2 linked regions of the Coturnix japonica genome follow. The protein of the gene in region 2 purifies or fractionates together with the protein of the main gene of each other region. This does not show direct contact. Links are inferred from orthologs where the notes say so. Each region holds a gene or a part of one and is shown on either strand. Other genes may lie near its edges.

Region 1 (15,781 bases), on a different chromosome or scaffold from region 2:
TCAAGGTAATGGAATGGGATCCGGCCCAGCAGGGACTCTCCACAGTACCAGCAGCGGCTGCAGGGAAAGAGCAGAAGTGGCCTTGAATGGACACATTCATATAATAGAATCATAGTGTCACAGGTTAACCATCTGTGGTTGTTAAGCTTATCCTGGACCATCATGTGCAGAGCTGGCTGCCTACAAGCTGCCTACCTGATGTTGGAAAGAGCTGTACTGCCATTCTTCATCTGTTCAGACAGCCTCCGCTCAGCAGCTAGGGCCCTCTGGGGAGCAGAGAGATAGGTCAGCCCCCAAGGCTTGCTGAGCCAGAGCCCACTGCATCAGGTTGGTTCCTCTCCCCTGTGCGAGGCCTTACCTTTTCCCTATCAGACAGGGCTGCAAACTGCTGCTTCTCTTCCTTCTCCTGCTCCAAGCGCTGCTGTTCCTCCCGCTGTGCCTGTTCCCGTTGCTTCCGCTGGGCTTTCTGTGCCCGCTTTTTCTCCATCTTTTTGGCTTCCATCTCCGTAGTCAGGGGGCCAGGTACCTGGGGCAGCGTAGGCAGGGGGCAGTCAGTCAGCATCTCCCTCAGAGAAAGAGGCAAAGGCACGAGGAGGTGAGAGCAGGATGCTGGGGTGTGGCTGAAGGCCATTTTGCTCAGGGGCAGGTGCCCACCTTGGCACGACTGTAGTCGTACTTGTCTGGGTGGTCCACCATGAATTTGCGGAAGGCATTGCGTGTTGGTTTGTCAGCAGAGATGCAGTAAGGGGTCTTCTCCTGCCTGTCTCTGCAAGATGAGAAACAGCAGCTCAGCCCTATGGTATTACTGCTGGTTTCTCATTGGGCTGTGATATAGAACAATCTAGGGTATTGGAGCCAAGGAGGGTAAGGTTGAATACCCCCACACCATGATTCCCCAAATCCTCTCCTTGCATTTCTAAAGGTAAATCTCACCCCAAACATAGAGATAAAACCAGCAGTCCTGACCAACCCCAGCTTGTCCCCCAGGACAAGGCTGGCATCAGCCTCACGTAACTGCAACAGGAGAGAGTTGCTGGACTCCCACAGCAGTGGCCATCAACTGTATGATGCCTTGTGGCCATACCTGAGTGCAGGGTCAGCCCCTGCTTCCAGCAGCAGGCACACAGCTTCAGCCCTCCCTGCACGTGCAGCCACATGAAGCAGGGTAAAGCCACATTCATCTACAGGCTGGTTGAGCAGGGAGTGGGGCAGACCCAGGGGTTGTTCATCATCCCCATCCTTGCTGTCCCCCACTGGGCCCCTGTTCTCTGGTACACCCAGGAGGTGCCTCAGTGTCCCCACATCCCCCATCTTGCAGGCTGTGAACAGGGCATCACGGAGCTGGGTCTGGGGGTCTCCTGTGAGAGAAGAACAGGAGGAGAAATCTGATGCTACAGGGCCATTTAGTCCAGGAAACCAACACGTTGCTGTTAAAGCATTGTCCTGCTAGCTGCATATGAGTATGTAGCAGAAATGCTAAGTCATGGCCTGAAGCAGTGATTGAACACCTGGTAGGAAGGCAGGGCCAACCCAGAGGAGCTCAGGTGCATGCAATGCATTGAGTGACAGGAAGGGAGCCAGGATCCACCCCTTCCCAGACCTCATTTAAGGGCTGGCAGTGGAGGTGAGGGCATCTCTTGCTGGAGATCCCTGCGTATCTGAGGCCTTCCAAAGGTAAGCAGCTCTTTTCTTTCATTTCTGTATCCATGGTTGCTGCATTTGGGCTCATTCTCATTTGCTGCAGCCAAAGATTTTGCCACCCCAATATTATTGTGGTACCGTTGTAACAGAGATCTCTGCTGCTCTCTAATCTCATCTATTCAGGTGGAAACACTATGGTTTGGTTACTGTTCTGTGAGCACTGCATGTCTGAAGGCATGTGGCTACTTTACAGCCACCCTGGCACTCAACTGCTCCAAGTACCTGCACAACAACTTGCTCTTCACCCCACTGCAAAGTATGCAGCATACAGGGCAGGTGCTCACCTAGCCAGGCTCCCAACTCCACTCACCTTCAGTCTCCCAGGGAAGGGGCTCAGCTCCAGGCTTCCCCTGCAGCTCTGTAACCAGCTCCAGGCTGGGCTGCCCTCCCTGGGTTCCACAGCATCCTGTCCCTTCAGCATGGAGCCCTGCTGTGAGAGCGAATGGTAAGGAAGCCCAGCCAGCCCCTGAGGCATGGCAGACCCTTCCCCCGTGCCTTCCCCCTCACCATTCTCCATCTTTTTATTCCTTTTCTTCCGCCTTTTGCGGTTTCTCTTGGGCACCACTTCAAACTCCCGGAGGTCCAAGGTCCCTATTGTTACTTCCACAGTTTCCAGTTCCCCTGCTGGACTCTCTTCCTCCTCTTCTTCCTCTTCCTCCCCTGGGGCTGATGAGAGTGAAAGGACAGGACAACCCCATATGCAGCATGAATTATCTGGGGCTTTCAGATAAGCACACCTTCCCCTTCCACCCAGCAGGAAGCCTTTTTCAGCAGATTCCCCTCTGTGGTGTCTTGCCCTGTTACAGGGCTGAAAATCTCATTAAAAAAAACAGACCACCTCCCCACCTTGCTCTGAGCCATGTCTCCCTCCATGTTTGAATTCACCACCTGTGTCCATCTGCAGGGAATCCATCTCAGCCGCCCGCTGTTTCTTCTGCCAGACTTTCCGTGGGGACCCAGTGATGTCCTCCAGTGGCGTGTCCTTCCCTAGACAGCAAGGGTGTCATTGCCCAGAGATGGGGTGCACCTCATGCCCCAAAGGGATGGAGAGCAGGAGAACCACTAGATGTGCCCAGCACTCCAGGGTCCCATGAGGGACCGTACAACCTCACCTGCACTGACCGCAGGTGTTGGGGCACCAGGGCCAGGCCAACTCACCAAACACCTGCAGGCTGGACAGCACAGCATGGACTCGCAGCACCTCCTTCAGGGTGGCCCTGCGTGTGCTGAGAGGGATGTGGCAGACACGGGGGTCTCCCCTACTGAGGTGGGGGTTCTTGCTATCAAAGAGCAGCGCCCGGTTGTGACGAGGGGCTCGGAGAAAGATGCGCTGAGCTTCCTTCAGGTGCTGCGCCCAAGTTGCCAAGAGGTTCTGAATATCCTGGAGAAGAAAGGAAGGCTCTATGGAGTCCTGAGTGGGCACCAGCAGCTCTGGAACAGGCAGATTCAAGAAATGGCAGCCTCAATTGGATCCTGACCCAGTTCTGGAGCTCATAGTCCACATATGAACTCCAACAGCAGCACGGCACCATTGCACAGAGCTGGTTGCCAACCACATTTCCCTACTGAAAGCTCAAGCCTGTGGTCCATTCTCACCTTGAGCAGTGCAGCTTCATTGTAACGCCGCAGGGAGGCTCCTGCTGATCTGGGTGCTGACCCTGGGGTCTGGGCATCCCTTAGGCTCTGGGCTGTGCCCCTCCGGGCTCGCACAGTGTAGCGGTGGAAGGTCTTGTGTTCCTGCACCTGGGGGCTACAGAGAAGGGAAGGGCCCATCCAACAGCTGGCCACACTTGTCCCTGCCCACAGAGACAACCTCAGCCTTGTGCCTTTGTACTCACCCACGGAACACGGCTCCTGCAAAGTGCCCGCCACCCATCATCAGTACAACCCAGCATGTGTTTGCATTGAGGCTCTGCAGTGACGCTATCAGCTCTGCTGGCTCCTCGCTGCCGCCCTGAGACACAAACACTCCTGCTCACATCTATGGGATCATCCCATTACTCCTCGCTGTCCCCAAGACAAAGGCCATTCCCTCTGCTGGCACATGCACAGTCCTAGTCATGCTGCTGGGGGCATCTCAGCTGCAGCGAACCTGAGGCACCAGACTTCTCCCTTCCCTTCAAGGGGCCCCAGGGACTTCCAGGCAGATGTCTGTACCACAGTGCCACCCCTCTTCTCTGGGGCCCATTCTTCTACAAGCTGGTCTGTGACTTGCCTTCCCAGTGCTCAGTATGCAGCGATAGGCAGAGATGAGCTGTCCCCTTGCATTGCGGAGCAGCACCTTGTGGGAGCGGGGATGCTGGGGGGTGGCAGGGCTGTTGCTGGCAGGGGGAGGTGATTCTGACTCGCTGCTTGCATCGGAGCTCTCTGAATCTGACCCTGAGATGCTGGAAATATCACCTGCAGCAAAGAGAAAATGGAGCAATGGAGGAAGACAAAGATAAATAGAAAGTTTGCAGGTGGTTCCGGGGACCAGCCCACAGCCCTGATGGATCAGACAGATGAAAAAGACTGTGAACATGTACAGGCACCTGGAGGCTTCACTCCCAGACAGAACAGCAAAGTCACCATTAGTCTGGGCCCTGCTGAAGCAGCCCCATTCCTCACCTGCTCTGCTCTTCTCCTCAAATTCTTCCACTGGCAGCGCCCGGCGGCCTCGGAGTCGCTGCTTCAGGTTGAAGCGGTGCCAGTCAAGTCGGTAGTGCTCAGTCTGTGAAGGGAAGAGTGAGCCAAGCAAGGTGCTGGTGCTTGACAGAAGCCACAGCTACCAAAGGCCCCACGGTGACAGAGTCCAGCAGCCATAACAACCCTGTGGCTGCAGTGATCCCGGGCAGGCAATCACTGTGTATCATGGAGTCCCTGTATATCGCCCAGCAGCCATAACATCCCGCTCACCTGCTCCTCCCGGCTGCCGAACTGCTGCCCGCAGGTGAAGCAGCACATCCGCTCCGGCACCTCGGGGGCTGTGCCGGCCTTGTCCGCTGCGTGGGGGGCTGCGGGCTGCCCTGCAAGGAGAAGGAGAGGACGGGACTGTGCAGCCACACAGGGCAGCAGAGGAGCCCCACACAGGCACAACAAGGCAACAGAGGGAGCCCAGGGGACCCTCGGGCCATAGGGCGAGGCCTGCCCCTCACACAGAGCACAACGCACCGTGTGTGTCCGCAGCCGACGGACTGGCATTGAACCCGCTGACGAGGGTCAGCCCGTGCAGGAGGGCGGGGTCCAGCGCGGCCTGGAACACCGACGTGCTCTGTGTGGCCGCCATGGCCCCGCTCAGTTCCCAGCACACCCCGGAGCCGCCATGGCCGCCGGGCTGCACCGGAAGTGCAGGCCGCATTCACGGCGCTCTCCCTACGGGTCGCCGCGAGGCTCATCCCACCTACCCTCCCTCCCGCTCTCCGATTGGCCCGGCGCGGACCCGCCCCTCGATCTCCATTGGGCGGCGCGGCTGCCAGTCGCGCTGTGGGGGCGGGGCCGGGCCCGGGGCTCGGTCCGGCTGTGGCGGCGGGTCCCGGCCATGGCCCAGCTGGAGACGCAGTACCAGCGGCTGGAGAGCTCGTCCACAGAGTCACCGCCCGGCGGCGGAGACCTGCTCGTGCACGTCCCGGAGGGAGCGAAGTGTGAGCACGGGGAGCGGGACGGGGCGGCGGGACGGGCTGCGGCCCGGGCTGTGGGATATGGGCTGTGTGTGGGGCTATGGTGGTGACGCTGCCTCTCCTCCCCGCAGCTCCGTGGCACCACATCGAGAACCTGGACCTGTTCTTCTCTCGGATATCCTGACACCTGTGTGGGGATGGGGGACACGGGGGGCTGGCACTGAGGGGGCAATGGGACGGCGGCCGTGCTGTGCTGTGTCAGAGTGAAGCAGTCCCACAACTGTTACACAATCACAGAATGACCCGGGTTGGAAGGGACCTCAAGGATCATGTAGTTCCAACCCCCCTGCCTGGCAGGGCCACCAAACATACACCTTTACTAGATCAGGTTGCCCATGGCCCCGTCCAACCTGGTCTTGAACACCTCCAAGGACGGGGCATCCACAACCTCCCTGGGCAGCCTGTTCCAGTTCCTAACCTCTCTCCTAGTGAAGAACTTCCCCCTAACATCCAACCTAAATCTTCCCTCTTTTAACTTAAAACCGTTTCCCCTAGTCCTGCTATTATCAGCCCTATCCAAGAGTTTACTCCCCTCCTGGGAGTAAGTTCCCTTCAGGTATTGAAAGGCTGCAGTGAGGTCACGCTGTTCTCCTTGACTGTCGCCTTCACGTGTATAACTTGCATCAGAAGAATGGCTTCACCTGCATGCTCATCGGGGAGATCTTCGAGCTCATGTGAGTGAGGGCTGCCCTCGTGTTGGGGCTGCAACAGTGGCCGGGGAGCAGCTATGGGAGGCTGCCAAGCTCCTGCAGTTGAGAGGGTTCCTGTTACGATCCTCCTGTCAACCCAGTCCTGTGGTTCATCCTGTGTAACTGGTGCCCTTGATCTTCCTGCTGCCTGGCTGCATCTTCAACCCCCGTGTGCCCCTGTGCTCATGCCTGCTTCCCATTAGCAGGAGGCAGAAGGCTGCTCCCCTCATTATTTCTCTCTTTCTTCGCAGGCAGTTCATCTTCGTGGTGGCCTTTACCACCTTTCTCATTAGCTGCGTTGATTACGATATTCTTTTTGCCAACAAAGCGGTAAATCACAGCCAGCATCCCAGCGAGCCTATTAAAGTGACTCTACCAGATGCTTTCCTGCCTCCAAATGTCTGCAGTGCGAGGTAGGGGCAGCCAAGGCACTGCTGGTGCTCTCTCAGGGGCTGGTAACTCTTGCCCAGGGATCATCTCCCACTACTTCTGCCACCTTCTTTCTTGCAGAATCCAGGCGAACAGCTTCCTCATCTGCATCCTGGTGATCGCTGGAGTTTTCTGGATCCACAGGCTTGTCAAATTTATCTACAACATTTGCTGCTATTGGGAGATTCACTCTTTCTACATCAACGCCCTCAGGATCCCCATGGTAAGTAGGTGGGACAAGGGCTACATGTGGTACAGGATATGGGAGGCATTTGCTGTGCAGTGAGAAGCAGCTCACCTTCATTCCTCTGGAGCCAGCTTCTCCAAGAGACTTGCACTGAATGCTCAGTCCTCTGCTTCAGCTTTTCCCTGCATGGTTTTCCTTTCAGCTCCTTCTCCAGCAGCCAACTTGCTGCTTGTTACCCACCCTGCCCAGCCTGCCTCTCTCTGTGCTGGCACACGCATCTGCCATCTGCTGCTCCATATGTTTAGTCTTCTGTGGTGGCCTTTTTTGTGACAATTTTCAACATAGAAGGCATAAGTGAGGGTATTCTTGGACTTCCCTGGGAAGCAGACAGTATCGACTTCCTTGTTTACAGATTGGAAAGATGAGGCGTGGAGCTGTATAGTTGTTGAAGATCACACCGTTGATGAGTGTGGCAAAGCTGGGCTCTGAGGCTTGTGCATGCATCCTAGTCCTGAGTCCTTGCTCTGATGGACAGCACCAAAGGGTGTTTGTGTGTATTTGGACTAGAGGCTGTGTCTTGAGAGAGATGGGATGAGCCAAGAGGTTTGGTTTATCCCCAGCTTTCCCACAGGCTGCCTTTGGGGCTTTGGTTATGTTCCCATCCCCTATTCCTGCCTCCCTGCTGACTCCAAAGAGCAGGACTGTGAGCTCTGGGAGGGAGGACCCATGCCAGGCTGCACCTGCATTTGTGTCTAATGCACTGGCGTGTGAGTGGCTGGGAAACAGCCACCTATGCTATTCGAGGGGTAAAGGGCACTAGGGCATGGTTTGAGGCTTGCTGGGATGACTCAGGCTGAAGCAGTGCAGGAAGAGATGCCTGTTGCTGTGGTGTTGCTTGTGGCTCGTACACACCCCGAGGTGTGTATTGGTCCTGCTGTTGGAACGGGCTCAGCCCAGCCTCCATCCCTGGAGCCTGCCCCTAACCTCACTGCTTTCCCTTCCAGTCCAACCTGCCCTACTACACCTGGCAGGAGGTACAGGCCCGCATCGTGCAGATCCAGAAAGAGCACCAGATCTGTATCCACAAGAAGGAGCTGACAGAGCTGGATATCTACCACCGCATCCTCCGCTTCAAGAACTACATGGTGGCCATGGTGAACAAGTCACTGCTGCCCATCCGCTTCCGCCTGCCCCTGCTGGGAGACACTGTCTTCTACACGCGAGGGCTTAAGTATAACTTTGAGCTCATCTTCTTCTGGGGGCCTGGCTCACTCTTTGAGAATGAGTGGAGCCTGAAGGCTGAATACAAGCGGGCTGGGAACCGTCTGGAGCTGGCTGAGAAGCTCAGCACTCGCATCCTTTGGATTGGCATCGCCAACTTCCTCCTCTGTCCTCTCATCCTCATCTGGCAAATCCTCTACGCCTTCTTCAGCTACACAGAGATCCTGAAGAGGGAACCGGGCAGCCTGGGTGCCCGCTGCTGGTCTCTGTATGGCCGCTGTTACCTCCGTCACTTCAACGAGCTAGACCATGAACTGCAGTCACGTCTCAGCAAAGGTTACAAGCCAGCTTCCAAGTATATGAACTGCTTCATCTCCCCACTCCTCACTATTGTGGCCAAGAACGTGGCCTTCTTTGCTGGCTCCATCCTGGCAGTGCTCATCGCTCTCACCATCTATGATGAGGACGTGCTGGCGGTTGAACACGTCCTGACCACAGTCACCCTTCTTGGGGTGGGCATCACAGTGTGCAGGTAAGGAGGATCCATGCTGGACAGGGCTGGATGCTGCTTGCAGTATGGTAGGGGAGCAGTGAGGTTGATATTCTTCATTTGAGTGCATTCTTAGGTTACAAGTGGACGTGAATCTGTGTGAGTGAAGGGCACGGCTGGGGCGAGTCAGGGCAGGGCAGGCAGGAGAGGGGGCCAGTGCTGAACTTGGGCACAGTGGCTATGATGACGGCTTCAGTGTTGATATGATGGAAGTTGCTGGAGCCATACAACAACATCCCTGTGCTGGGCTGGCAGGAGGGTTTGGGTTGGAGTGAAGGCCACAGGTGAAGCTGTAATATGTGTCAGTCTCCCGTCATCCCTGGTTGAAATCTTCTAGGAATACTATGACGTTTCCCTATCTTACCCCTCAGGTCTTTCATCCCCGACCAGCACCTGGTGTTTTGCCCTGAGCAGCTGCTGCGAGTCATCCTGGCACACATCCACTACATGCCTGACCACTGGCAGGGCAATGCCCACCGCTATGAGACGAGGGACGAGTTTGCCCAGCTCTTCCAGTATAAAGCGGTGAGCCTGGCTTGCAGGGGGGTGGGATGGACACCCTCTCCCATCTCTGCATAGGCAGAGGAACAAGGTGGTTTTCCCAGTCACCGTGCTGCAGAAGGCAGCCTGGAGCTGGGGGTTGGCTTTGGGGCTGGCAAGTTTCATGACATCCTCACCCATATGCTGAACTCATCTTTATCCTCAGGTCTTCATCCTGGAGGAGCTTCTGAGTCCCATCATTACCCCCCTGATCCTCATCATCTGCCTGCGGCCCAAATCCTTGGACATCGTTGACTTTTTCCGCAACTTCACGGTGGAGGTGGTGGGGGTGGGTGACACCTGCTCCTTTGCCCAGATGGATGTGCGCCAGCATGGCCACCCTGCGGTAGGTCCTGAGGGGGTTGTTTTCATACCAGGACTCTCTCAGGAGGCATGAATGGGGGTGTTTGGATATCTAGGAAGTCTGACTTATAATAACTGATTGTAAAAGCTGGGCTGCTTTAATCCAGGAGAGAGGCAGCCTACTGGTTGGGGATGAGGTACATATTCCCTTTTACAAAGTCTGCTCTGGAGAGAAAGAAAATGAGTCTGTTTCTTGTGCCTGGAAATTTATGTTACTAATCAGGAAAGAGTTTCTAGTGACAGGGCCATGAAACCAGTAGGGGATGGATGCACTGTGGCAGACAACTTGCAAAAACAGCCATTTGTTGGCTATAGTTGCTCCTGCTTTGGGTTGGACAGCACAAAACAAAGCTTTCACCTCTGTGACTGGCCTTCACCTCTCTAGTTCCCTTCCAGCAATGCATATTTAGGGATGGAGAAGGAAGGTAGGCTGCAAAGGCTGAGCTGGCTATGGGGCTTTTGGTGTAGTGTGTGTCAACTGCTTGGAGCTATGGTCCATCATGCAGGTTGTGTGCTTTGTCCAGTCTAGCTGGCGTTCAGGATTCCTGGGCTTAGCACGGGTGTAAAGCAGATCCCAGTCTTCAGTCTCTCTCTTTGTGCTTCACAGTGGATGTCAGCGGGGAAGACGGAGGCCTCCATTTACCAGCAGGCTGAGGATGGCAAGACGGAGCTGTCCCTCATGCACTTTGCCATCACCAACCCCAAGTGGCAGCCACCCCGTGAGAGCACAGCTTTCATCGGCTTCCTGAAGGAACGGGTGCACCGGGACAGCAGTGTGGCACTGGCCCAGCAGGCTGTGCTCCCCGAAAACGCCCTCTTCAGCTCCATCCAGTCCCTGCAGTCCGAGTCAGAGGTGCCCAAGATGGTGGGGAATGTGGGAAGGTCCTGGAGTGCTGGCAAAGTGTGATAATCAGGCCTTCGGGACAGACTTTGTCCTTATCTGGGCTGTGTCCAGGGGTGCAATATGATGGATCAGCACTCACTGGGACTAATTCTGGCTCTTTAAGGAAGGGCAGCTGGGTTTCCTGTGCCCTGTGAAGTGGGAAAGGGACTAAAGAGAGCTGGGATCCTTCAGTTTTGTCTCAGTGGTGGGGGTTTTGTCTCCAAGTCTGTGCAGGCAGTGATTCTCTTTCTCTTTTGTCTCTGCAGCCTCACAGCCTGATTGCCAATGTGATAGCAGGCTCCTCAGTGCTGGGATTCCACATGGGCCGTGATGGACAGGCCTCTCGTCATCTCTCCGAAGTGGCTTCAGCCCTGCGTTCCTTCTCCCCACTCCAGTCTGCCCAGCAGCCCTCTGGTGGCTTTCAGACAACAGGAAGGGATGGAGAGGGAACCCAGCCTCGTGGTTCCAGTGCCATGACAGCCTCTGGGTAAGAGCATGCGGTGGCCTTCACTGCCTGACCCTAGAGCAGAGAGAGGCTTGGTGGTATCTGCAGCCACATAAACATCACTCTTGTTTCCCATGGCAGTGCTGATGCGAGGACTGTGAGCTCGGGGAGCAGTGCCTGGGAGGGTCAGCTGCAGAGCATGATCCTGTCAGAGTATGCCTCCACTGAGATGAGTCTCCACGCACTCTACATGCATGAGGTGAGTTGAGCTAACCAGAGGGGATGTGGGCCCAGGGCAGGCAGGACTGGAGTGCCCTGCTTTGGGTGGCTTGGATTGGCTGGAAGAGCCTTGCTGGGGAGAGGGTGCATTGGGGCATCTGTAGCTGACCCACCTGTATCTTGGCTGTGCAGTTGCACAAGCAGCATGCCCAGATGGAGCCCGAGCGGCACACCTGGCACCGGCGAGAGAGTGACGAGAGTGGTGAGAGCACCCATGAGGAGCTGGATGCTCAGCGAGGTGCCCCCGTCCCCCTCCCTCGCTCTGCCAGTTACCCCTTCTCATCTCGGCAGCCTGCTGAGGAGACAGCCACGTTGCAGACGGGCTTCCAGCGACGGTATGGCGGCATCACAGGTATGGGAGCCGGAGCAGAGGTCTGAACCTTCTGGTCACAGTCCCGTAACCCTTGTCCTGTAATACTGGCACAAGCAACATGCTTGTCTCTGAAGACTGACAGCCCCCCAGGTAGCTGATCCTCCTTGCCTTTCCTACAGACCCAGGCACAGTGCACAGAGCCCCATCACACTTCTCCCGCCTCCCACTGGGAGGCTGGGCTGAGGATGGGCAGTCAGCGAGACACCCAGAGCCTGTGCCAGAGGAGAGCTCAGAGGATGAGCTTCCACCGCAGATCCACAAGGTAAGGGAGGAGGCTGTGGCAGACAGGGGCAGCAGGTGCTCTGGATGTCAGGCTGCAGACCAGCTGCCAGCAGCCCTTAAATGCTGAAGTCCTGTCTCTGTCTTGCAGGTATAGCCTTGCAGACCGGGGATCTCGTGGGGGTTGCAGACTGGAAGCCACCTGGGCAGCAGGATGTGGTGTCAGCCCAATTCCTCTCCTATCCCGAGGGGATAGGATGGTCATGGGCTCCATTTTGTTGCCATCGATTGCTGATGAGACAAAACTGCCAGGCCAGCAGCTTTGCGGTGGCGCCTTGTGTCCAGCCGTGTGTCAAGCCAACGTCACTCTGACTCTTGTGGGGTGAATGCGTGTGTGAGTACATACATGTGTCTGTGTTCACATCTGTGTCGTCCGTGTCGGAGGATCACTGCAGAGCCGCTGACAGAGCTGTGGATGGGCTTGGAGGTGGCAATGGCAGCTGCTGTTTGAAGGGATGTGACAAGGCAGCAGCTCCAGATGTCCGCCCGGAGCTGGGACCTGCCTTCGAAATGAAAGCAGGGATGGCTGGCAGCAGTGGGAGCTGTCGGAGCTGCCTTGCTCAGTCTGTAGCAGTGCTGGAACCACACCTGCAGCCCTGGGGAAGTGCCCTGCGCCATGTTCCACCTCGTGGAGAGGATCAATGTTGCACACCTCAGTCTGGAACGGGACAGCGGTGGGGCCCACCCCTCTCTGTGCACATGTGTGCTGCCCTGACACCCTGCAGCAGGATGATCCTCAGCTGCTGCTGTGTGTGTAGGGTTGGGAATAGCTCTGCTGCAGCTCCATCCCCAGCTCTCGTGACACCTGCCCTGTCCCAGGCATACAGGAGAGGGGTCCGTGGAGTGGCAGTCCTGGGTCTCTGTCCCTCCCCACTGGCAGCCCCCTGTGCCAGCCCTCTGTCCTGGGCTAGAATAGCACTTCCTGACCTGCATGGTGCTCGGTTGATGGGCTGCTCCCAGGCCCTCTCGCAGTGCCAAAGAGCTGGTGCAGCCTGATGTCCCCTGGGAGTGCACGTAGCCTGCTCGCAGCCCACAGTGAAGGTCTTGTGCTCTGTGCGCTGATTCCCTTCCCCCAGGCATCATAAAGGCCTTTTTCCTATGCCCGGTCTGTGATGCGTCAGGCCTGTTCTGTGATATCAGCCCTTTCCTCCTGCCCTAACAATGGCTTCAGTGTGTCCTGCCTCTCACCCAGGGGCTCCTGGCTCCTTTCCTTCCTTCCTGAAATCTTTTTGCGAGGATTGCTGTGGAGACCATAAGCTGAGCAGCTGCCTCATGTCATGTCATGGAGGGGGCAGGGAAGAAGGGGTACCTTGAACCCTGAAGTGAGAGGCAAACCACAGCCCAACCTTGATGTGATGGAAGGGTGTGAATCAGGATCTTGGCTTTACAGCACGGCCTTGGCCAGCCCTTCGCTCGGATCGTGCTGTTTTCCCTCATCTCTTGCAGTGGCTGCTTGCGAGGACCTACATCTCAGCTGCCCTTGCCCGGCTTTATTCCACCTCCCTGGCTCTTGTTGCCTGCAGGAGAGACTCCTTGCTTTTTCTATGCCCTGCCCTTCCCCTTCCTGGAGCACAGGTGACCTTTCTCTCCCTGCCAGGCTATTGCCCCGTGCCCTTTGTGCCTGGTGCAGCAGCAGGGACAGGAGGGAGGGGATGGCAAGCAGGGCTGGCTCTGCACCTCACATCCGTGGGCTGCCCTGCTGGTTGTAACTGCAGCCGTTCTAACACCCTTTATTTCCCTGCCTCCATGGGAACCGTAAGCGATGGTGATGTCCTTTGTGCTGCCTGGGCTCCCTCTAGGCACAGTGGGCAGTGCTTGGAGCCTGCAATACACAGTGAGGGGGTTTCAGAGGCTGTGCTCTGGAGGGAAGGAGAGCCCTTTTGCTGGGCTAATGGGAAGGACAGGCAGGGCAGGAGTCCTCGCTGCATGTTGTGCTTGTGTCGTCGGTGTCCCCTGTGCATGGCGAGCCGCAATTCTACATCTCCTTCCTGGGTCGGTGGGCCCGGGGCGCCCAGGGGGGGTGGTGCTGCAGCCCCGCGCCCTCACTGTACAGCTGTCTTGCCATCCAATAAAGATGGGCTGTGTCATCTGTCTGCCTATGAGTGTCACAGCGGCGTGGGGGGGCAGCGATGGTGCCGGGCACCCCGGTGCCCGCGGAGCGTGATTGTAAGGCGGTGAGGAGCCAAACCGGCCGGATTTAGGGCTCAATTTACTGGGACCACGCGGGGGGGGGGGCAGAGCCGCCGTGCCGCAGCAGCGAGGGGGCCTCGAAGGGACTCGGATCCGTGCGGTGAAGGAGCAGCAGCTGAGCGCCCGTCGGGCCGGCGGCCAGAGGGAGCTATAAATACCGGCAGCGCTCCGTCCTGCCCGACCTCTAACAGCGCGCCGGGCTATCGCCGTGCCGCACAACCGGGCTGCTCGTCGCGATAAGCAGCGCCGGCTCCGGTCCCCCACGGCGACACCCCACCTGGGAGCGCTTCGGGGGCGGGGTGGGACGCGATCCGTGGAGCCGGGGGACGGGGGGAAGGAAGGAAGGCCGTGCTGCGGGGCGGGGAGCGGGGCGGGGAGCGGAGCGGGGCGGTGCTACGGCCTGCGGGAGGCACGGGGAGCGGAGCGGAGCGGGGCAGGTGAGCGGGACAGGGGCTCGGGGGGCGGCGGGACGGCGGGCATGGGAACGGGAACGGGAACGGGAACGGGAACGGCGGAGCGGTCGGAGCCGCGATGCGCTCGGGAAGCGGCCCCTGCGCGGCTCCCACGGCGCCGGTGCCGGCCCGGCGTGTCCCTGCGCGTTGCCGGCGTTACTCGGTGTATTTCCTCGTGCGTTGTCCCGTGCTTTATCCTGCGTTTTCTCCACGCGTTGCCCCTTGTTTTTCCCCACGCAGTGCTCTGCCGTTCCCCACGTGTCACCCCTGCGTTCCCCGCCGCGTTCCCCACCCGCAGAGCGCTCGGGAGCATCCCCCTGCCCGGAGCGGTGCCTCTGTATCCCTGCAACGGTGGCAGCGCTGAGCGCTCACTGACCCGACGTCCAAGTGCACGGGGTGACTCTCCCCCCAACCTTTCTCCCCCTTCAAGCCACCAAGTGCAGTGCCAGGCCACAGAGCTGACCCCAACCGCTGCTCATGCTCTGCTGCACACAGAGTGTGTCCCACATGGGTTCACCCCCACCACTGCCCCCTGCCTGGCCGTGCCATCCTGCCCTACAGTTGCAGCCTTGCAGCACCCTGAGACCCCATCTTCTTCTCTCTAGCCACAGACCGGCCAGGATGGCGTTGCTGGAGGGATACTGCGAGCCCAACAGCTCCATGGCACAGGCCTGGGTGCAGCAGGGCTTCCAGCCCTGTTTCTTCTTCACGCTGGTGCCGGCCGTGCTGTTGAGTGTCTGCCTGCTGCTGGGTGCCCTGCAGTACGCCTGCTACGTCCGCTTTGGCCGTGCCATGGAGCCCAAGTACATCCCTCGCTCGCATCTTTACCGTGCCCAGGTCCTGCTGTCCTTGCTGCTGGCTCTGCTGCCCCTCGGTGGGCTGCTCTGGCAGCTGGGGGGCCCAGGGAGGCTCTATGGGTACATGGTGCTGTATACCTGCCTCTGGGCTGCTGCCTGGGGCTGCGCCGTCGCCCTCCTGCAGCTGGAGCACACGCGGGTGCTGGCAAATGACCGCACACGAGGCCACGGCACCGTCCTCCTCCTCTTCTGGGCTCTGGCCTTCGCTGCTGAGAACCTGACCCTGGTGTGCTGGAGGAGCCCGCTGTGGTGGTGGGCGCTGCAGGACACCCACCAGAAGGTTAGTGGGCTGCAGTGGGCTACGGGGGTGGTGGATTTTGGTGCTGACCTCCTCCTGGCACACGTGTGCTGGTGCCTGGTGTGTGCAGGTTGCACCACCACCCATCAGAGCTGAGCTGTGCTAGGGTGGGTGGTGGTGCTGAGCCCCTCTCTCTGTCCAGGTGCAGTTCAGCCTCTGGCTGCTGCGCTATGTCTGCACCTTCACACTCTTCATCCTGGGCATGAAGGCGCCGGGGCTGCCCCACAAGCCGTACATGTTGCTGATCAACGAGGAGGAGCGGGATGTGGAGAACAGCCAGGTGAGTCCCGGGGCTGGCTGGGAAGGGTGTGCCTGGGGTTGGGATGAGCTGCTCCAGGAGTTGGGCTCTTGGGGCTGATTGCTTGTCCTGTGCTCCCCCAGCCGCTGCT
Region 2 (14,734 bases):
GCTGCATTTGTGTTCCTTCCCTGCAGAAAAGAAAAAAAAAGTTATGTTTTATACAAGAAAAATCACATTATTAATCACAGTTCCTCTGGCCATACCATCACAAAGCAGTGCTTGGAAAAAAGAGAGTTGCTTCATCACAGCAGAGCTCAGTTACTTCAGAAAGGACCAAAACATTCCCTCCTTCCCACCATCTCTGCCAGCATGATGCAGGAATGAGCAAGACAGGAAAAGAGAGCCCACAATCCATCCGTCCCTGCAGTGTGTCAGACCTGCAGAAATAACTCCTGTTGTCATCAGCCCTCAATATTTTTGGGTTTTGACATCACACACAGAGAGAAGTCTGGGGATAGAAGTTTTGAGCCATTGCAGCTCCCTCTGATGGGAGGAGAATGGCACGGGGCACTGCTGGTACCCATGGAGGTGGTGAGACTGAGAGCTGCAGAGAGCTGAAAGCAGCGGAGGGTTTTGTGCTGGAGAATGAAAGCAAAATGTCAACTTGCTTTCCTCGCACTCCATCAGTCTTTTCAAGAACAAAGTGATTCCTTCACCCACCCCTACCAAAGCTTTTGCTGTATAGAAATAACAACATTTCTAAACTTGAGAGATACTGAAGGAAATTTCTGGCAAAATCTGACCCGTTTCACTTTAGTTGAAGATGAAGCTGGAGAATTACAAAGAGGCTCTTCTTTATCAGACTCTTCCATTATACGCTTCCCAGGACGCACCTTGGGCTACAGCTGCTGGGTTTACTGTTGTTCCTCCTTTTCAGTGGTTACGGTTACTTTGGATCCAAACAGTGATGGCAGCTATGGAAAAAACACTGCAGCTTTGTCACGTGGTCCAAATGAGGTTTGCTGTCATCGGAGTGCTGTAATTCTTTATAGAATATTAATTGGGCTATTGGCCACCTTCCCGCTCAGCTCTTCACAGCTCCATTAAGTGCTGCTGACTCTGATCTCGCACTCATCGGAGAGTTATGGGACTCTTTGCCACAAGGGCCATTCCTTTCAACACAGATCGCTCGGCGCAATGAGTGCTTCTTATTACAGAGACCAACCAGAGCACTTTTATCATCTGGAGGAATCTGAAATGGGCTTGGATGGAGCTCAGTCCCACACCATAGAAGTCTGTGAGCATTTAACAAAAGCTCACCAAGGCCTCCATTTATACGATATAGGGCTTTGCTTTTTATTTGCTAAAGGCTTCTTTACTAGACCTGTATCACTATGTTAATTACTTTAAATACATCCATCTGTGCTCAAATAATAAAAATATACATACAAACTATAAAGAAGATTTGCCCTGAACCGTGCTGGGCCAGAAAAAAAAAATCATTTATGCTGCAACTATAGCAACTACTAAAATAGCAAAGCACACTGATTTCTCACATGAACCTGTTCCTAATGTCCAAGAGACACTGTGTGCTGTGCGCCTTATATACCAGCTCCCAAAATATCCGAGTCCTGATAGGATGAGAAAACGCTGTCATGTTCTCGCACCAGGCCAATTACAAAGCTGTAGTTCCTGTGCTGGTAAAGATGTTTCCTGTTGATAACACAAAAGGACAACATCGCATCGAGCTGCTAATGTTATCTGGGACCCTTGTGACCTCTCGGAAACTTTAACAATTGTAGAGCACTCTGCCTTGTGCTTTTATTTCAATAAATAAGCAAGAAGGAAAATAAACACAGGTCCTGCGGCCGTGCACTTGCTGGTGGTTGGGGTTGGTTGGGGGCTGGAAGGCGCAGCTCTGTCAGCAGAGGACTTCACTGCTGCCCCAGCGCAGTGCTTCACTGTGTCCCTTCCCAAACCAACACTGTGAGAATGAGCAGTTTTACACTGATTTCTCTTGTTCTATCAGTTCTAAATGTACTCCTCTTCCATTTTAGACTCTTAATGTTTTAGGATTAAAAAGCACGAGGAGCTGCTCCACAGTTTTCCTTCCAGTCTAAGCAGCTTGGATGGGTACACAGACCTGTAACTCAATGGCTTTAAGATTTGTTATCCCTAACTGGCTCCTAACTGATAAATTCAGCCTGGTCTGCCCAAATATTTGTCTGTCCTTCGCAATCCATGGTGCAACACCCACCTTAATGGGCACAACTTGAGAAAGTGTCATATGAAGGAGAGCTGAATACACATGAGGTGCATAGAATATATCTTCTGTCTTTATAAAGGACAGTGTGTCCTTACAAAGGATAGAATTAAAAAGTCTTACAGCTAATTACTTTTAAAACCTTATAATTGAGTATCTGGGCTTAGCTCTGTGCTGCCCCTGCCCCAGTAACCCGCAGTCCCACCTGGAGGAGCATTGCTGAGCCTTTCTCAGCTGTTCCTGCTGGAAGGAGGCAGAACCCTCACCATGGTTTCCTTCGAGCAGCGCTTATTCACAGCAAGTCACAGTGGGAGAGGGTGGGAGGCAGAGTTCATTCATTTTTGTAGCATAACATAGAGCAGATTGTGTTTGGATTTCACCAGATATTTGTTGTTTTACGTTTCCTTGCTTTATATTGGAGAAGAGCCTGCAAGAAAACTTTGATCCAAGGTACAAATCCACAGCCAAGATCTGAAGTAAGCTTGCACAACGTTCTGCAGAACAGGCTGCAGCCCAGCACTCTGCTTTGGGAGCTGTGCTCCTCGTGCTGCTGCTCAGCTGTTTGAGCTGCGATGGGCTGTGCAGACTTCTGCCATCCCTGTCCACAATATTTTGGACACTGAAAGGCATCAGTTCAACGTTACCAACTGCTAGGGCAAGCAATGGGCCTGGAGGCACTGAGCACATCAACAAAGGCTTTGGGTCCAGCTGGCCTACCAGCACCCACAAAGGTGGAGGGGGGAGAAGGCACACTGTGGTACAAGGCCTGTCTTTTAAGAACCCATCAGCCCGTTGTTCTGTTTATGAGCTGGGTACAGGGAACGCAGGACAATGCAACCCAAAGGCTGCCCTTGGGGGAGAGGCCCACAGCCACACACAGACCCAGGGAGAGCAGAAACACATTGGTGCACAAAGACTTTACCCTTCAGACTGATAACAGTGAGGTGACTGCAGCAGGGAGCCTCCCAGGTACAGGTAGTTTGGTTGACGCAGACTCTGCTTCCACAACCGAGTCATGGCAACACACCCCAGCTACAGGAGAAACGGGTTCATCTGTGCATGACCTGTGTAACACTCTGCATTACACAGAATTCATTGGAAGAAGTGTTACAACCATCCATTCCGTAGCGCAAACAAAGCTGCTGTATAATTAATTACCGCTGCAATTAAGATCGCCCTTGCTGTCCCTCAGCACTGAGGCCATCACCCCTCGTCATGCCACAGCTGCTGCAATGACAAACAGCGGTGGGTGTCAACCACAGAGAAAACAACAGCAAATGGATTGCAACACACTGCATTTGGCATGTGGGAGAGACAGAGGTGCCAAGGTTTAGCCCATTTCTCATCACGGACTCTGAAGTCAGAAATAAGCAGGTGCAATCCCTCAGCCTGAGCAAACCCACCATGGGTAAAGCCCCATTATCTCTTTGTCAGAAGGTTTTATTGACAAGGTCAGCGCAGATCAGGGGCAGGAAGTACATGAAAGGAACAGCAGAGGCAAAAAGGGGTAGCAGCAAGGAAGGAGGGGTAGAAACATGCAGGAGAGAAACAGCGACAGAACCCCACCTAAAATACTGAGGGGGAATAAAGCTTTTCTAGCAGTGCTATTCTGTTTGTCAGGGAGATAGATAGGCTGCGGCTTCTTTCACTACAACAGAACTCTGTTTTCTCTGGGTGTGGGGGGAATCAAGTGAATAGAAGATGCTGCTTTGCACTTTACAGAGGGGCTCACGGAGCAGCTGCTGATTCCTGAAGCTGTGAGCACACAGAGGTGGAACCTCAGACCACTGAGCTCCTCTGCAGCAGTGCTGCAGTCCAACAGTGGCACACAGCACCAAGCAGCTCTTCTGCAGCACCCATCGTGCTGCTGCCCTCGGCGCTGGGTGGTAGCATTGGGCACGTGGGAGCAACAGAAAGAAATGACAATGTGAAAACAGACAAACTGAAGTTGCTGAAATTCAGAAAACAAAACAAACACAAAAAACCACCCAAAACAACCCCACCATGCTGCAGTGTGGGTTTGTTTCTTTAATATAGTTATACCTTCCGACTCAAAGCATACATCAGCACACACCGTTTCACTGCGTCTGTTTCTGATCATTACTGGAAAGCGATGGCTCAGAACACGCTGTGTGCTCAGAATGCCACCTACTGGCAGCACCGGCGTTTAGAAACAAACCACCGAACCACAGCGGGCTGCTGGATCCTCTTCTGAGACAGTGGATACACATACAGACTGCTGCAGAAGTGAGACACCTACCGAGTCCAGTGGGGAAGTGCTGCTGACAGACCTCGATGCGCTGCTAAATAACTGTTTATCAATTAAATAGCAGGCAGATGAAGTTGCAGCTTTGTATGCCTTGCAGGAGGAAAAGGCTTCATAACCCTTGAAGCACTCTGAGCTGTCCCGTGCTAAGGATAGAGTAGGGAAAACACACTTCATCTTACTGACAAAAAACAACCTACTTCACAGTGCACTGCAAAACCCAGACTGCAAAGAACATCTCCACACTGGTGGCTTTGTACTACGAACAGATTTGTTTTCAGAGCCCCTTAAGGAGTTCAACCTTCCAGGTTAGACAGTGACAAAATCACCCCGAGCTGAGGACACCGAGGCGATATCTCACCGTGTAAGCAGAATCATGCAAATCGCCTTCACAGAGCATTCTATATCAGGCAGTTGTGTGTAACGTTGGCAGACCATCAAATTTACATTTTCCCCACATCAGGTAGAGAGCAGAAGCCACCACGATAACAAAGTTAGCAGCTGCTCTAAGAACGAAACTACTTTACCAATTAGAAGTTACTCCTTGAACAAGAATTCATGCCTCTATTTCTGCCTTTCTATGCATGCTGGGACCCCACATCTTAATAACGAAGTTGGTTTTCATTTTTTATTGTTTTCTTTGTTCCCCTCCCCCCTTTCTACAGTATTAGCTGTTCATGAACACTGTTTCTATGGTGCACAATTCTGCAGAGAGTGAAAGCACAGCAAAATTTCTCTGTATTTAAAAAACAAATCAGGAACTTCTGTGAAGCTCAGTTCCACTTACCCAGGCCTCGTGTTGGACTAACTGAAGGCACACCAGGATTAGAGGCTGCATATTACTGTAGATCAAAGTGGGAAAAAAAAAGAGGGAGTGATGTGCAATTAAGTTTTCTTGTCCTTTATTAGTTCCCGGACCAATAGGGCCGATACCTCACCATCAAAGCCAACTCAAACTGCTGCAAAATATAAGAAAAACACTGGGCTGCAAGATACATCCTTCAACAGGAAAACAAATGGAGCTTTTGAGAGTCACATTTTACAGGCAAATAATCAGAATAAACATTGTGAAGAATGGAGCCACCAGGAAAAGTGATTTGTCAACCAGTTACAGTTTTAATATAAAATGTTTAATCCAGTCATAAGCTCAATGGTTCAAATGAAAATGAGCAGTGGAACCAAAACTTCGAACAAGATGATTTGTTTCGACATCCAGCTTGTTGGGGTGACAGTCATCCCACCCCAGAAAATACACATCCACGCCGAGCGCAGCCCAGCCAGCTCATTGCCTTGCTGCTGCACAGGGCCTGCAGCCATCAGTCACTTCTGAGGCTGATCTTTCTGTAGCACTACAGCAGCTGCCTTTCAGTGGAACTCAGATGATTTATTCATTTTACTAATCATACACATTGTATACAAAGGTAGATAGACAGTCTACAAGGATTCAGTGGGGACAATATCTTTTCAACCTTGTGAGAGAGTCAAGAACCGTCAAGAAGGTAGTGTGGAGAACCTTGCACACAGTATATGCACCACATCTTTAGCTTTGAATGGCTTAAATTTAGCATCTGCCTCGAGTACTAAATAGAAACCAAACCATTCCAAAACCTGTTCAAAGAAAATACTGATAGCTGTTAACTTCTTTTTCTGAAATCAAAGTATGTACATCCAAATGAACCTCAGCTTCTCAGAAAAATGAAACAGCATGTAAAAAAAAATAATACCTTTACATATAACATCCTCACCTGTTGTCCATTCTGCCAGAGAGTTCTAAGAATAATTGCTTACAAATGGAGGAGACTACGACAGCAACCTCTTCAGGGCAAATAAAGTTAAGCAATTCTAGCAAGTTACAGCAAAAAAAAAGAGATTTGCCCTAAATGAAGAAGGCAGCAAGCCTGAAAAACAGAAATGATATTTCCATCAGCTTCTCTGTAAACAACAATCAACTGTCAAGAATAGGCAGGATTATATCACTTATCCAGGAAGGGTAATAATAATAAAGAAAATTATAAAGCCTTCCCACCAGATTTATGGCTGCCAAAATCAGTCTTTTTTTTTTTTTTTTTAAATTAAAGACTTACACTTTATAGTTTTATATTTGTATTACAAATAGAAATAAAGAAAAAGCACATGCTAGTTAATTGGCGTAGGGTTTTCACACCCAAGGAGTATAACAGGGTTGAAACTCTTCAGTGTGCACCTCAGCTCACGTGAACTAGCAATCATCATGCTTCCCCAGAGATGTTCTCACAGACACTTCCCACAATCTTTTGTTCTCAGACACCTTGGCCTCCAACACACCTACTTATTTATACACAAGCCCACAGCTTGTTCTGTCAGATGAATTGGTTTGACACCATGTAAAGAAGAGCAAAGTGTATTTTTGGACTCCTGATAATTTCAGCTCAGATTTTGTAAAATGTCTTAAGTTAACAGAGCTCTGAATGAGTTAAGGCACCCATATGCCCGGAACAACAATAATAAATACCTTGGGCTAAATACAACTCACTGTTAAGCAGTCAGGTAATTGCACAATTGTCTCCCTGTTTTGTCAGGTAAAGTCTTTAAAGATCCTAAAATACAAACACTAAAAACTGTGAATACAATGGACAAGGCATTGACAAGACATTCTCAAGGTTCATTCTGTATTCCTGGCTCCTCAAGGTAACGGCTACTACTAATGTAATTAGCTTTTAGCAGCAAGATCAGCATGTTCTAAGAATGAAATAAATATTCACACAATCAATACTAATGGTTCAAATGCTCAAACACATTATTGAAAATGGTAAATTTCCCATCTTTCTCTCGCCCAATCCAAGTTTGCAGAGACAAGACCCTTGGCAACAACATTCACAGCTCTCAGTACCACAGAAGCTTCTGCAAACAAATCCTAGGCCTGAAGTGTTGTCATCTGTGGTGCCTGCAAGGTGTCTTACTGTGTTCGAAGCTGGTAGTCTGTAAAGGAATAACAAAAATAAAACCAGTTTTAGTACACTGCCTTTCACTAATCTCAGTAACACACAAGAGCAAACTGGGATGAAATGATCAGAAATGATCAGATCTTGATGTAGAATAACCAAGAACATGGGCTTTAAAGCAATTAAGATAATTACAAGCTTCCAAGCCAGGAACAGCAAAAGCAGTCTGAATAGCAAAACAAGTAATAATGAAAAGCAGCAGAATTGGTTTGTTTTTTCTTTTCCTTTAGCAGACTTGGTGGTTCTTAGCAGACAGTATCTCAGCCAGCCCAAAGCCAGCAAAATGATATGTACGAATCAGTTCTCTTTTAATTCATATTTCTCCCCAGATTTAAGTATTTCATAATGAAAGTCACATTCAGTGAACAACAGTGCTGTCTAAATGAGCATTTCAATAAGATAGTTGAGTAAGAAAAAAAAAGACTAGAAAAATCAGCAAGCATTAATGTCATGTACATATACTGCAGTGTTTAATACTGAAACACAAGAACAGTTTGCTCATATCTTCAATTTGTTGGTGTATGCTGGAGAATTAAAATACATTAAGACAGAGATTATGTTTATAGTTCATTGCTTTCAATTTACCTCCATTCTGGGTAATGTAACGAACCCATGGGAGAGCCTGATAGCCACTCTTCTCAATTATCTTTAAGTATCGAACCTGGGAAGAAAGAAAAGTTAAATATGAATCTCCCGTGTCAGCCAAGCATTGTTTAGCAAAAAATAAAATGAAATCAGGGATGATTGGGTGGGCAGCGATGATCTATGGATATAGATCATCGCTGATGATAGATATATGGATATATATGGTATTGATAGATAGATATAGATAGATATATGGATATATATGGTATATTCTATGGATAATAATAACAGAAATTATCCAGATGTGCAAAACTTTAGATGTAAACATAAACTGTCGTCACTTGCATTAACAGTGTGCTTTCCATATGAAATAATGCAGCCAGTCCTATCATTCTCTTTACAAGATTCCCTTAAAGCCGGGAAAAATAAAAAATAAAATAAAACAAACAAACAAACAAAAAAATCAGACTTGCCTCAGTAATAAAGAAACACTTTTGGTACTTCAAAGTGAAGGGCAGGAAGATGTTTGTGAATGAGACAGTGACAGCCAGGAAAAGCAGGACAAAAACAACAGCAAAATGACACCAAACCATGGAACAATTACACAGCAAAAATTACACCAAACCAAGGAACAAGGCAGACAAAGCTACAAAGCTGGGCTGCATCAGCTTGTGTGTCAGGAGCCTAGCACACAGCCTCCTTCTGTATTTCTGTTTTCAACTACCAACCTGGATTCCTGAAGTGGTGAAATATGGAATCTCAAATTTGACACTAATGGGAGGTTTCCCTTCCTTGTCTTCAGCTTCAACACTTGGAAGTCCAAAGTGAGCCCTCATCAGATATTCTTTTCCACCCTTACAAAAAAAGAACAATTTTTTTTTTTCTTGAAACAAGAAAAGCTTCCAACAATACAAGTGATTTTCTATGCAGAATATCAAATTGATGAACTGCATTTATTACTTCAGATTCTTTTCTAGGGCTAAGAAGGAAGTACTTGTTTTTATTTAAAAATAGTGGTGTTTGGTTTTTGTTTGTTTTGTTGCTTTTAAATATAGATCAACTTAAGACCAGTTTGAGGCATAATTCATCTTCCTCTGGTCTTATCCTCAACGAGAACATTAGAAGTTTGGCTTTCTTTCTGACCATTTTCATCACATAGCACGGTAGCTGTACTATCACTATGGAGCATTTGATGCTTTTAGAATTTGCCTTAGGCTGAGTCATAAACCATTAACTTTAAGTAATTATTGTACTATTGGGTGAGAAGACTAAAAATAGCACTTACTGGAAAAGACTTGATGGACCAGACAATTTCACTGTTCTCTGGAACCCATTTGACACTTCCAACAGTGGTTTTAAACTTTGGCGAATCCGCATCATTTGGAACTGGAATGTGAATCTCCACATTGTTGGCAGTCGATCTACGTTTAAACTGACTTTTTGCCTAAAGAAAAGTGAGAAAAAAAAATTAAAAAAATCACATCTCTAAGCACATACACTACACATGTAAATTCAGAGAGCTGTGAGATAATTTCCCTCTACCACAATCTACTGAGAAACAGCACAATACAGAACATTAACACAAATGAACTTCACTAAAAAGACACAAATCCCAGGGAAATAGTAGGTGTTTGTGTAAGCAGGAATGCACTCTGCTGGTCAAGCACTGAGAACAAACAAAAGACAAACCAGCCATAATAATTTTAGTACTTCTGACCTTGATCATGTACTCGATGCGGCTGTGGGAATGTTTTTCAATCACAGACTCAATCCAGATCAGTGGCTTTACCTGATGGGAAAGATATTTTACAACTGTAGATTTTACTTTGGCATGTGCACAAAATTGTAATTTCCTCACAAATCTACACTGAATACATTAATTCTGTAAGTAAGCACTGACATACAAGCAAAATGTGGCTAAAAAATGGCAGGCATCGAGGGGGGGAAAAAAAAGAAAGAAGTATTTCTCAGATTAGTTCCTAACATCTTCAGTTGTCAAACACATCTCCACGTATGTGCAGGTCTTTTTGTTTTGTTTTCTGTAACTGTTTTGCTGGTCTCCTGTCACAGCTGACAATTAAATATTTCCTCTTTGCTAAATATTTTCTTTTCAAAAAGAATGTTAACTTATACAGCAGCTGCTACCTTGAGGAGCCAGGAATATGGTATGTTAACATACTCCAAGAAATATTCAGCTAACAAATTAACACTGTCAAGCACAATAAATTGCCACAATAATTTTATAGCATTGTTAGCTTAAAAATGAACTAATTCATGCTTTGAAAATAGTTTCAATAGAAGTTGAAAAGATAAGAGACTTACTGCCAAGTTATTCCTAACCTCATTCTTACTTCCTCCAAAAACAGCAAGCACAAAGCGTTACTACTAATGGTTGACTTCACAACTACTATGCTGCCCATACTTAAAGAAAAAACAAAACACATCACGGGAAAGTCATCAGCAATTCTACCTACAGGCTAGATTATTCTCATAAAAAACTGCTATGGTTCAGACCCAAACATCCAGACTTACGTGGGTATTGAGGCGATAGGACATGAGTTCAAACTCTCCATCAGGTGGGATGAAAGAAATCGTCCTGTCATTTTCAAAGCGAGAGAGACGAACACACTGATGGAACTTCACGTCTTCCAGTTCTACTGATTTACTTTTGCCACCTATCAGAAAACACACATGCCAAGATTTCAAATCACTGCTCCCATTGCATCTGAAGTCACATCAGAGCATTATATAGCAAAGCAGATGCCTGCTGATATCCTTCACACCTGGGTTTAGCCCAGTATTTTTTCTAAGACTCCAAAAGTCCCAGCAGAAGAGGCAATGAAGCCCAGATGGTTACCATGTTCACTGTGGTATCCCATCTTCTCTTGGTATTGCCACACAAGACCTAACCTGGTTTTCTACATTGATTAAACAAGTGTTTTCATCACAAAATCTATGTTTTCACTTGAACCTCACCAAATCTTGCAGAGAACACCCATCACAATTTCAAAAGATATTGCTGAAATACTCACGGCCTGTGTTATCAAAGAGAACTTTGTCATTTAAACCAAGGCGGAGCTCTGGCATTCCTGAGAGAAAGACTCTCATTTTAATGGATCCAACTATTTCACTCCGTAATACATTTCCATTGGCACTAACCTGAAGGGTAATGAAAAGAAAGATAAAGGTTGCCCTAACACAATATGATATGAGATCAAACAGCAATCCCACCCCATCCTCAAGCCCCGGGTCTCCGTGGATGCTTTTCTTCCGAGCAACCAATCCAACACAGTACAATCAGACTAAGGACAAAGTGGGAATAGACTGAAAGAGAAAGGAAGGACACATTGGAAACCAACTCTGGGACTACTGGGCACAGAGCACAAGTTCCAGTAAATGATTATTTATCTCTGGCTGTCATTACAGATTGTCAGTTTCAATGACAGACAGCATCCCAGCACACTAATCATGGTTAGGCTGATTTTTTAATATATAATATATAATATGTTTTCAGACAGTAAGTTCTTCTCAAGACTTCTACTAATAATTCTCATTAAAAGTTCAAGTAAAAGGTACCCACCAAAAGGTTAACAGACTCTATAACATCCAGGAACACTTCATTCTTCCTATATTTTATCCCTTCTGATCTCCATGAAACAGCATTTGTAACAGTGGCAGGTGGACGTGGAGCTCCAGTTTCAAGTTTGTGACCTTCCTGAGTGATGTACCTTTATAAGCACAGAATTAGAACAAAAAATACAAATTATACTCTGAAAAATCTGAAGTGTCTTTTATATCAGATACACATCATCAATAAATAAGTTGGATATTATAATACTTTATCAAGTATTAAATATTTTGATAACTAGAGGAGGAACCCAAAACATTTGTTTGCATGCAAAATACAAAGACTTTCCCAAGGACTTTACAAATATGAGCAATAAAGACTGATACTTACTCTTGTAAAATTTTACTATCAGTGGTTTGTGGGTAACCAAAATCCATAAGCTCATCTAACAACTCATAAATAATAACAAAATTATCTCTAATGCTCTCTTCTTCCAACTCCTTGAAATATTCAGAAAAAACCTGAAACAACAAAAAAAAGAACGAGAGGGAAGGAAAAAAAGAAGGACATGAGCTGAGGAACTACAGCATATTCTGAATGTATTCCTATAACTAACAAGAGTTTGGAAGAAAAAAAGGAAAAAATAAATAAATCACCAAAACAAAACTCATAATTCCTAAAAACATTCTGTCCAGATTAGCAGCAGGAAACTCACCTCAATTAAAAGGGGGTTAAAGAGACCAAGAAATAAGTCTGATCATTACAAAAAATATTTATGCTGGGAAAAACAGTTGTGATGCCAGTTCCAAATTAACCCAACACAGCACCTATATATGGCACTATTCATACATCAGTGTTTTCCTCTGTGTTCTCGGGTCATGTGCAACTACTCACAGCATTGTGTCACATCCTTTGCCTACTCAGTTATAAGATATCAATTCCATTCTTAGTGGTTAGGAAGACATTTCTATCAAATAATCAAATATAAAGGAAAAATAGTATAGATTCTATTTAAAAAAAAAAGTGAAAGCTCTATGCATTTTTATTAGATCACACTGAAAAATAGATGGGAAATAAATCCAAAACTTCCTACTCACCTGAACTACTTTATATAAAAATGAAAACACCAGTGATACACAAGCATTCTTCTTAGAAGTTGCAACAACTAATAAAGGATGTTCAGGAACACGCATTCAAAGTCATGGTGTGATGAAAAGCATTTTACTGAGTGTGCTTTTAAAAGCATTGTAAAAGGGGCAGCCTGATCTGGTGCCTGATTTAGTTTGTGGCAGCCATGGCTGAGGCAGCAGGGTTGGAACTGAAAGATCTTTGAGGTACCTTCAACCCAAGTCATTCTATGATTCATTCAATGATTCACACGTAGGTTGCCTGCAGCACAAAGGATACGATAGAGGTTGTTATGTTTAATCCACATGAAACGAACTCCTCCATGTGCTAGAATAGGAGAAAGCGTTCCCTCTTCTTCCTTTTCCATAAGGATTGGCATAAAATGCTCCACTTCTGACATGTCCACATCCCCACGGTAATTTCGACAGATGAGAACCTACGGAAAGAACAATTCCTTACACTTTTCCTTTGAGAGATGACGTTACCATGCCAGACCAGCACAGGGGATAGTTAAAATACCTCTTAACTGAAAAACCCACATATCAAGCTTTAATCAATGGTCTATACATACTACAAACGCAAACCAAAGTGCCATTATATGTTGCAATTTGAACGCAAATCCCCAAGCTACGCAGTCGTATCTCCTAGTGTTATTCCTCACACAGCTACGCACACCCTAATAATAATAACTTTTGAGATGGAAAAACACACCGCTCTCCTGGGACAAGCCTCCTCCCATTAGGGCTGATATTACTGACCGCAGTTGTGATGCTCGGGGCTGTGCAGGCAGGGCCGCTCCCCGACTCGGACAAGGCGGGACCGCCCCACAGCTCGGGGCAAACAGCGAGCGGGAAGGGGAAGCGGCGGCCGCAGGGCAGCGAGGCCGAGAGAGCCCCACGGTGCCGGGCCCCGCCGAGCCCAGGACGGGCCCGACGCTCTCGGCAGCTCGGGGTGAAGGGCGCCCACAGCCGCAGCGCGGCCTCACCTTTCCCTTCAGGTCCAGCACGTACACGGCGCTGGCCGACATCGCGCCGCCCGGGGCCGCCGCGCCCGCCGCGCCCGATCACAGTCACAGCGACTTCCGCTTCCGCCCGCCACTTCCGGTAGGAAGCGGCTGCACAAGGTCCGGCCGCGCGGAGGGATACGCGCAGTGATCCGCCGGCAGCGGAACAGCACTTAAGGCACCGATTGCTGACGTTAAGTAGTGCGCGGCCGGCTGAAGTCCGCAGTTAGGAAGGCTGAGGAGCCCCGGGACGGGTCAGCGGTACCAGAGGGAAAACGCTTGGGTTGAATTAGTGTGTGAGGGTCTGGGATGTGATTCACATCACCTGTGAGAGCTGTAAATGCAGCCATACAGACTGCATGCAGCACACCACCCTCACTGCAGGGAAAGGAGCACCGAAATAATGGATAAAAGGAGCTTTTTAATAAGTTACAGTAAAGACATAAGGATTGTAGAATACAGCAGACACCACTGCCCCAACTCAGAGATTTTATATAGGAATTACACAGTTCTGCCACTGATAAGAGCAGCTCATACAATGTAATGCTGCCACAGACTGCTTCTTCTAAGAGCTGCTGGCATAGGACAAATAAAGGAACATTCTCCTGTTGTCTCACAGCAATTGGGTTCAGCTTTGAGCACTGAAAAACACCCCATAAGTCAACAGCCAAAGAAGAGGTTTTGTTGAGTATTTTGAAACTGAAATACGGCAGTACAAGGTGATAAATGTTCCGAAGACATATGAAATATTCAGTATCATGAATACGGAGGTTTACACGGCAGCCCTGTTTGGTGTGAGCACAACTCCTGACCCGAGGCCCCGAAACGCCGCCCGTTCACTTGGTCCAGCTGACTTTGGGGATGTCGTAGTGCTCCGTCAGAGTGTCCAGGTGCCTGTTGAAATCCTGAGGGGCAGCAAAGGAACAGAGCGCTCAGAATTGGAGCATTCACCATCGCGCAGCCCTCCCCACAGCGCTGCCCAGCTGATGGTACTTCCACTCACCTCAACTCTCTGTTTGTGTGTTTTCGAGGCCTTCTTCAGGATCCTCTCCATTTGCTGGAAGAAGACACAAGATCACAGTTATTGCCGTGGGGTTCCGACCCGCCC

What was found.
Region 1: the proteins of AP1M1 (region 2) and ATG9A purify together in Homo sapiens (affinity purification with western blotting, with the first as the bait; 3 studies listed by BioGRID). This does not show direct contact. The link is inferred for Coturnix japonica from reciprocal best matches to the Homo sapiens genes AP1M1 and ATG9A.

What each region holds. Positions count from the first base shown.
Region 1 is NC_029522.1:24,495,122-24,510,902, reverse strand, and holds ATG9A (autophagy-related protein 9A), read left to right. Parts: upstream 1-5,151; 5' UTR 5,152-5,218; coding exon 5,219-5,321; intron 5,322-5,428; coding exon 5,429-5,472; intron 5,473-5,966; coding exon 5,967-6,031; intron 6,032-6,297; coding exon 6,298-6,459; intron 6,460-6,556; coding exon 6,557-6,698; intron 6,699-7,666; coding exon 7,667-8,415; intron 8,416-8,804; coding exon 8,805-8,958; intron 8,959-9,139; coding exon 9,140-9,319; intron 9,320-9,943; coding exon 9,944-10,189; intron 10,190-10,485; coding exon 10,486-10,706; intron 10,707-10,805; coding exon 10,806-10,923; intron 10,924-11,075; coding exon 11,076-11,295; intron 11,296-11,435; coding exon 11,436-11,578; intron 11,579-11,686; coding exon 11,687-11,692; 3' UTR 11,693-13,684; downstream 13,685-15,781. Other genes in the region: ANKZF1 (ankyrin repeat and zinc finger domain-containing protein 1), read right to left, coding at 1-57, 196-266, 359-526, 655-766, 1,085-1,358, 2,012-2,131, 2,209-2,367, 2,548-2,688 and 7 more; ABCB6 (ATP-binding cassette sub-family B member 6, mitochondrial), read left to right, coding at 14,859-15,374, 15,535-15,672, 15,774-15,781. UniProt on the Homo sapiens protein: Phospholipid scramblase involved in autophagy by mediating autophagosomal membrane expansion. Cycles between the preautophagosomal structure/phagophore assembly site (PAS) and the cytoplasmic vesicle pool and supplies membrane for the growing autophagosome.
Region 2 is NC_029543.1:3,457,994-3,472,727, forward strand, and holds AP1M1 (AP-1 complex subunit mu-1), read right to left. Parts: upstream 13,715-14,734; 5' UTR 13,651-13,714; coding exon 13,609-13,650; intron 13,060-13,608; coding exon 12,903-13,059; intron 12,661-12,902; coding exon 12,593-12,660; intron 12,017-12,592; coding exon 11,886-12,016; intron 11,656-11,885; coding exon 11,508-11,655; intron 11,087-11,507; coding exon 10,960-11,086; intron 10,603-10,959; coding exon 10,460-10,602; intron 9,717-10,459; coding exon 9,645-9,716; intron 9,372-9,644; coding exon 9,213-9,371; intron 8,782-9,212; coding exon 8,656-8,781; intron 8,004-8,655; coding exon 7,928-8,003; intron 7,320-7,927; coding exon 7,297-7,319; 3' UTR 5,247-7,296; downstream 1-5,246. Other genes in the region: protein FAM32A, read right to left, coding at 14,463-14,531, 14,630-14,683. UniProt on the Homo sapiens protein: Subunit of clathrin-associated adaptor protein complex 1 that plays a role in protein sorting in the trans-Golgi network (TGN) and endosomes.